Linked DNA regions of Nothobranchius furzeri. The protein of the gene in region 1 interacts with the protein of each later gene in a pairwise test. Links are inferred from orthologs where the notes say so. Each region holds a gene or a part of one and is shown in the gene's direction. Other genes may lie near its edges.

Region 1 (4,280 bases):
CTGTTTTATGCAGAGCAGCTGGAAGAAACTGCTACACTTGGAGCTTTATGCTCAGTACTTTCCAGTATTCAGCGTGTGCTTTACCAGATGGGCATTTTGAATGAAACATGCTTGACAATGGGTCGATGTAGGACAATCATTCCACAGAGAATAACCATGCTGCATTTTGAGCTTAATAAAACCAAAAGATTTTAGTTTTTCTACACGTGTGCAGGGGATTCATCTCAACCCTTATGAAAAATATTTTATAATATTTAATAGTTTATCTATGTTTACTTTGTTTTAAGTATGCTTAATTATGAGATATTTTTATACGTGGCAAAGGCTGCCTGGCACCTCAGGGATGCAATCCTAGTATTTCTGTTTGGATGATGTGCTCATCGAGCCATGATCGGCTCAATTAAATAGGTTTTTCAGCATTTAAGGAAATTTTGAAATATGATGTAAAAGGCCTCAAAGAGGATTTTAGTGATTTATAGTTATTTTTGATACAGAAATTCACAGTGCAGTGCCTTTTTTTAGCCATTAAGTCATAGTTGTCACCCATAACTAGTGTTTTTTTAACTGAAATCACATTTCTATTTCTATTTATACAACCATTTTGCTATGGAAAAGGTGGAGCTTGTGTAAAACCTCAATGTTTCTATTGAATATTGCACTTGCCATCTACTCTGTAAAATTGCAAGAATATGCCAAATTTGTAAATGTGGTTTTGCTTGAAATTACTTTTTCTAGTCTTTGATGATCAAAGATTGTGTGAACTTCAGGGCTCCAACAAACCACGGCCTAATTCCATAGCTGTCAGTGCTGAACAGATGCTCATGGTGATCACTGCTTGCTGCCATCTGAAGAAGGAACCAGCACTGAAGATGAAACGTGCAAGTACCAGTTTAATAACATAAGCTATAGTCAGATTCATTTAAAGGCTTTCATTGTCTTAATGGAACATTTTAAAGCATTAAGTTTCCCATCTTCTTGTCTAGACTTGGAGGAATTTCACATGTGCTAATAACAATGTAAGACTCCTGTGCTTGGAATAAACTGTTCAAATTTAAACTGCTGTTGTTTTTCCTTGGAAATTTTAATTTTCACAGCTTTATCTGCACAATCCTTTTCTCATAGCACAGAAACAAATCAAATCAAATGATAGGTAGTCACGCAAATAAGAGCAAACTTTGTTACCCAAGTTAGGGAGAGTCGGCAGGATTTAATGAGCAATGTTGCCCCCTGGTGGCCACATGAGGGTTTTGCTATTTACGAATTAGAAAATATATAAAGAATTAAGAAATCATTTTATTTCTAATTTCTTTTTATTATTCCTGTTCATTTTTATCGTAAAATTTGATTTGTCTCATTTTTTATGACGGAAGTTTTATTTTTCTGTATTTAATTTTAGAAATTGTTACTGTTTTATCGTTTCCATGGAAACTACAAACTAACCTCAATCGTTGTCGTGTGGCTTTGTATTTCGAGAAGCTCTTCAGGAGACTCAAATTGTTTTAGAGACAATAATTTAGAAAACTGCTTCCCGGGAAAATGGCTTTTAACTGGAATAACTATGGGATACCATTTTTACCAGGATACTCGTTTAGAGAGGAAAGGGTAAACTGACACACCTGAAGCTAAAGCTAGCTAGCAAAACAGAATTCTTGATGTAAATGACCGGTAAACAAACACTAAAGTTAGCATTTTGCAGGCTTTTGCTGTTTTTCATTATTCCTTTACTTTTTATTTCTGTAATAGAAATGTCATTGCTATAATTCCTCAGGCATTTGTGGAAAAAAGAAATTACTAATTAGTCATAATTGATAAACATATTTAAACATTGTTGAATGCTTTCAGCTCCATAAAAAAGTTCTGATAACATTTAGAAGAACTGTTACACAAATTATTCACATCTGTAATTTATTCATCTTATTTGTTAATATAAAGCTTTAGTGTGAAATGTCTAGTAACAGCACATTTTTGCAGAAGACGGCTAAAATACTCTTTTACTATGAGATTTTTCTCAACTGCGGGGATTTTACCATCTGTTCTGTAAAACCAACATCAGCAAAACTGATCATTAATCCTTGTGCAAGTTGGCTTGCAATGAATGAAAAACCTTATACACTATATAAGAATACAACTTTTCTAGACCAGTGTTCATTTAAAGAGCAAGTCATCCCCAAATCAACTTTTTTTTCTGATAAACTATATAAATGTGCGTAATCGAGCTGCAGACACATGTAGACAATAGTCTTGCACTTTAGTTAAATTTTTAATTTTCTGCCTAAAACTATCAGTGTTGTGCTCTCTTCAGCTGAAAATTCTGCACTGCATTTGAATTTAAATCTGTCATCGCCATTGGCTAAGAGATACCCTATGGTGTTAGCTGGTACAATATGATGTCACAATGCCGTTGTGAGCCTGTGACTCTTTAAAGAACACAGAGTTTAGTTATTATTCACAGCTGCTAGTGATTGGAAAATTGGTAAATCGAAACCTATAACACCTTTTGGTGCTGGATCACTCAAACTAACCAACTTATTACAGAAAATTACATGGAAATACACCAGTGTCATATTTTTATTCTATGTACTTTGCATCTACAAGCGTCATGCTACATTGTGAAGTTTCGTGTACATGACTTCATAATTTCTGGTGTGATTTAAGTCCACAATAAAGTATTTGTTTCGACAGAAGTCCTCCTTCCACCTACCCCAGACTCTGATCTATAAGAACGGCTTTGCTTTGCCTCGTCGCCCATCCGCTGGCATTGGTCAGGAGCCTCTAGTATCAGAGCAGCTGTCCCAACAGGAGATCAGTGAGCTGTCCTTTGAGAAACCAGACCTTACATATCACTTTGATGACAAGACAGTATACGAAGACTTCATCCCAGCTTATGTGAAATTCGACAAAAAGGTTGAACCTAGAAAATCTGATATGATCATTTATCCATAAAATGTAAATTACTGTTGACAACCATCTGCTTGTATTCTAGGTACTTTGTTTCTTTGCATACTTCTTGGAGGATGTCTGGAATTCACCTGACGAGGATCACCGTATACGCCATGTGGTCATTTATTACTATCTCGAGGATGACAGCATGTGCATCTGGGAGTCCGCAGTGATGAACTCTGGGATATCACAGGGGAAGCGGCTCAAACGCCATCGGGTGCCAAAGAATGACCGTGGAGACTATTACCACTGGAAAGACTTCAACCTTGGTATAGACCTGGAAGTGTATGGATACAAGTACCATCTTACTCACTGTGATACATTCACAAAGGTACATCACTCCTGATTCCTGTTATCATCCCTATGAAACAAGTGTTGTGTGTGAGCCGCTTCTGCAACTAGTCTTTTGGTTTGAGGCTTTTCATTCACTCAACAGGACTTCATGGAACATGAGGGTATAGTTCTGAATGAGCCTGAGCCGATGCCTGAGGATCCTTACATCAAACATCGTCAACTCTCACCACCGCCCCGTATCACTTCACCCACACCCGACATAACTCACCGGTTTCTTACCATGGACCTTAAGGTAAAGGAAAGTCCTTGTTTCCAAGTCACTGCAGCAATAAAACGAGCACATCTGGTGACCTTTACAACTTTAACATGCAGTTGGAGGAGAACAGGCACATAACAAGAATGCTATTTTGTGCAGGATTGTTACTTGTTAATGTTTTGTATATTTTATGGATTTATACTGGCTGTTGCAAGTACAATCGTAGTATGTTCCAAAGGACATCTCATTAAAGAACATTTAAGACTACTTACCTGCAACAAAACCTATATCCAGATTAACTATAATCACTTTATTTCAGCAACTAAAAAGTAAAAAAAAGACTCCAAAATGTCAACCATTTATTATTTTATAAACCTCCACATTGCCATACAATTTTATACTTAGTTACAGTTCAATTTTGTATAATATTTTAAACATTTTTTTTAAATATTTCTGCCTAATTAATGCCGTTATGTTGATTTGATACTGTTGCTGAGGTTTGAAACTGTGTAACATAGTCCACTTTGACATATATGTAACATCCCATTAATACCAAATGTTTAATATTTGACAAATCTGTTTTTAAGAGCTTTAACAGGATTTGTACTTTCCTCAAAAACCTGAATCCTGTACATTTCTTCTGCCCTCTGGTTGAAGCTCTGTGTTGTAGGCAACATGTGCAACTGTATTTTTTTAATAGTTGTTTGAAACCATAATGAAAAAGACTAGGTACATTTTTTTAATTCTAGGTTGACATTAGCCAATTAAAAGAATAATTTCAAGTGAGACA
Region 2 (3,785 bases), on another chromosome or scaffold:
CATCTGTGTTTAATCTTTCACCCTGCTGCTTTATTAGTGTGCTCTGCAAGTGAACACCATGAATACAGCTACTTTCTTTACAGGAATATATACACAAAGAGCAAAATGTGTGCTGCTATTTTGCACAAAGATCCCTTTAGTTAAATCTGTGCAGAAAAAAATCACGTTTGAGCTTTAGTTAAGTTTGGATTAGGACTTGGGAAGGCAACAGACTAACAGCTGAAGTCTTCTCCTGCCATCTGTTCACAAAACTATTCAGATGGACATAATTATCTTCTTTTTAAGCGTCCTGCAGTCCTAGCACAAACTTGACTCTAGATTCATTTATATCAAGTAGATGCACAGAGATGCTGTGACTATACTTGCATAAGCATCCTTCCAGATATTTTATAAAGTTTTTTTAATGTCTGTATTCAAACATCTCAGTTCCCTTGCAATGGCAAACTGTTGTGTTTAAGTGCTGATAAATTGATGCACATCAACTCCCTGGTATAAAAACCAGGACTAAAGTAGGTTACAAACCATTTCCTGCAGCAGAACAGCTTTTTGGGTCAGAAACTAATCTGAAGATAGATGCAGGCCATCGGCAGGAACGTCGGACAATTTCAAGACAACTCTTCATCTTCTGAAGTAAAAGAAAACAGAAAAAAAGGAAAGTTTTACACAACGCAGGATGTAGCTTGCAGCTCGAGTCGTTGGTGCTTAATGTCATGATCGCAGCTAGAAGTTACTTATGAAAAAATGACTAACCCTAGCTTGTCTCAGTCTGAAACTAAAATCACACACACACACACACACACACACACACACACACACACACACACACACACACACACACACACACACACACACACACACACACACACACACACACACACACACACACACACACACACACACACACACACACACACACACACACACACACACACACACACACACACACACACACACACACACACACACACACACACACACACACACACACACACACACACACACCTGTTTGCAGTAAGTACGTAAACAATAACTGATTAAAAGCCTGTCCTCCGTGACCGGGCAGCAATCAGCCGTAGTTGGTCTGTTACGTTCAGACACAAAACACACGGTCGACGCACGGCACGGCAGCGCTCACTAAAAACAGAACCGTTTGAGAAGACGAGATTTGCATAAAAAGAGCTGAAGCTGCCCACTTCTCCCCTTCACAACCAAAGAATGCCAAACCTCGAGACATTGATCTGGCGTCCAACTCAAACAGATTCAGGTTCACTGAGTAATGTGATAAACAAGTGGGTTTGGCTGAAAAAGGAGTCCCGCATTCAGACTTTGCACAAGTCTGACAACCTCACAGCACAAAAACGATAAAAGCCCCCTCTCCATCTGGCGTGAGAGGTATTTATTCAGCCGTTCTTTTTTAAGCCCCCAAAGACAATAAAGAGCTGACAAGAAGGCAGAAAGAATCCACGCTCTTCTGTTATTTGCTCACATCCTTCTCCCTGTGTGTGACGCCGTTTGCACACCCACTCTTAAAGAGAGACAGAGGGAGAGAGGAGGGACACGGAGCAGCACACAGAGCCAGTCTGTTTGCAGCTCCCACCTCACTGGAGCTCCTCTGCCAGACAGCGCTCACCCATCAGCCGCCACACTCCCTCAAACTCCTCTCCTCTCACTGCGCGACAGCTGACAACACGCTCCGCTCCCCCGGCTGCGCCGCAGGACCAACATTCAACCGGGAAGACAAAACACGGACCCGATTCCAAACGAGCAGGGACGCCAGCTTTAAGGAGGAGGCTGGGTTGAGGCTGGAGGGGGTGACTGGAGAATGGAATGGAACCTCAGAAGGATGGAAAGTGAATTGAGGCACATCAACCCAGACCTGCTGCAGCCCAGCAAAAGCTTCAAGAAGCCCTCTTCAGGTACCATCACCCTAAATGTAGGGGGGTTCCTTTACACCGCCCATCGGACCACCCTTTCCAAGCACCTGGGGTCCTTCCTGGAGGAGCTGGCCAATGGTAAAAAGCCCGTTCAGCACACCGACTCTATGGGTAACCCCTTCATTGACAGAGATGGCCCAGTTTTTCGTCATGTTCTCAACTATCTCAGAACCGGAGAGCTGCAGCTACCTGATGACTTTCGGGAGGCGGGGCTTCTGCGGCGGGAAGCTGACTTTTACCGGTTGAGTGAACTGGTTGAAGCAGTCATCGAATGGGAAAGCCAACGAGCCGCGCAGCGAGAGCCCGCGTTTTTGGAGGTGACAGATAGCCACGACAGGTCCCAGGGCCTCAAGGTGTACTGCAGCGACGCCACCTTCATAGAGAAGGTGAAGGCACGGCTGGTGCAGATCTCCAAGAGCCGCCTGGATGGCTTTCCAGAAGAGTTCGTAGTGTCGTCCAACGTGATCCAGTTCCGCCACTTCATCAAGTCGGAGCCTGGCTCGCGGCTCGTTCTGAAGGAGGACAGCACCTTCTTGTGCACGCTTGACTGTCTGAAACTAGAAACGGTGATGCTAGCTTTAAAATCCGGCTTCAAGTTGGTAACCAGCCTCGACAGCAGCAAAGGCTCCGTGGTGGCGGCCGAGGCCCTGCACTTTGTCAAATAGAACAAGAAGGAAAAGTAGATCAGCAAGGAGGGAACTCCTGATTCTCTTGCAGATGTAAAACTAAGATGTTGTGACGTGTTTGGTAGGAGATGGAGAACAGGTGGGGTGGACTAGCAACAATGTTTGTGTCTTTACTGCAAAGTGGTGACATATAAATAAAGTTCAGAGTGGTTGTTTACAGCAGAATGACAAAAAGCGACTCTGCTCTGTGTGTGTGTGTGTGTGTGTGTGTGTGTGTGTGTGTGTGTGTGTGTGTGTGTGTGCGTGTGTGCGTGCGTGCGTGCGTGTGAGAGAGAGACAGAGGTAGAGTGTGCTGATGAGTGCGGGTGTGAGTTGCTGCGCTGCATTGGTGTAATAGCTCATGTTTAGCTTGTTAGCCATTTGAAGCCCGAAGGTTGATTCGGAAAGTCGAGCTTCACCAGAGAGCCGTGGTTATTGTAAAGGGCTTTGCACCCAGCATGATGCATGTGCACTGAATAAACCGTGTGTTTGTCAGCGCTGTGAGCCTCTGTGCAGATGGTGTCACAACTATTTTAAATGTGAATATTTTACAAATAAAACAATCAAACTCTTATTTTCGTGTGTTTTTTATCTGATAACTAGCACATCAGAGAGTTCTGTAACTGCTACCAACTGAGCAACACTGCAGCTTCATCTTGTTTACAAAAGAGAGCCATGAACCAACTAGACACTCACTCACAGCTAATTAATAAGTCTGATGGTAAAAACTCTCTTCTTTCCCATTTGGAGCAGAAAGCCACACAGAGTGTAGGGTACATTAAACTCATCTGAACAGCAGAGGGTGTCCTTTTCTTGGTTTCCTTCCAGTCTGCACCAATAGTTTCAAATCAAAACATTTTACACAACTGTTTGGTGCACATAAATATACTGTGTATAACGCTGTAATAACGCTTTGTATGTCTGCTCCTACAACTGGAAAATAACCTGAAAAATACCATACACTCGATTCAAATCAAAGCAAACATGGTGTTGGACGTTACATAGAAAATTCCATGACTGGCTCCAGGTTGGGATGTAGAGGTGAAACTGGAAAAACGACAATATGGTGCAAAGACTCATTTATGTCAGTAATCCAGCTGACATGGAGTCTAGAATACTGAGCCTTTTCACAATTTTCTAATTATCTGAGATTGTGAATGTGGGGTTTTCAGCCATAATCGTCACA

The links.
Region 2: the proteins of efhc1 (region 1) and kctd4 interact in binary tests that used the Homo sapiens proteins (3 or more experiments, as listed by UniProt). The two-hybrid records come from large-scale screens. The link is inferred for Nothobranchius furzeri from reciprocal best matches to the Homo sapiens genes EFHC1 and KCTD4.

The regions. Positions count from the first base shown.
Region 1 is NC_091742.1:6,295,577-6,299,856, reverse strand, and holds the start of efhc1 (EF-hand domain-containing protein 1), read left to right. Parts: upstream 1-1,394; 5' UTR 1,395-1,536; coding exon 1,537-1,602; intron 1,603-2,682; coding exon 2,683-2,904; intron 2,905-2,983; coding exon 2,984-3,271; intron 3,272-3,376; coding exon 3,377-3,526; intron 3,527-4,280. UniProt on the Homo sapiens protein: Microtubule inner protein (MIP) part of the dynein-decorated doublet microtubules (DMTs) in cilia axoneme, which is required for motile cilia beating.
Region 2 is NC_091754.1:10,968,268-10,972,052, forward strand, and holds kctd4 (BTB/POZ domain-containing protein KCTD4), read left to right. Parts: upstream 1-1,470; 5' UTR 1,471-1,822; coding exon 1,823-2,599; 3' UTR 2,600-3,173; downstream 3,174-3,785.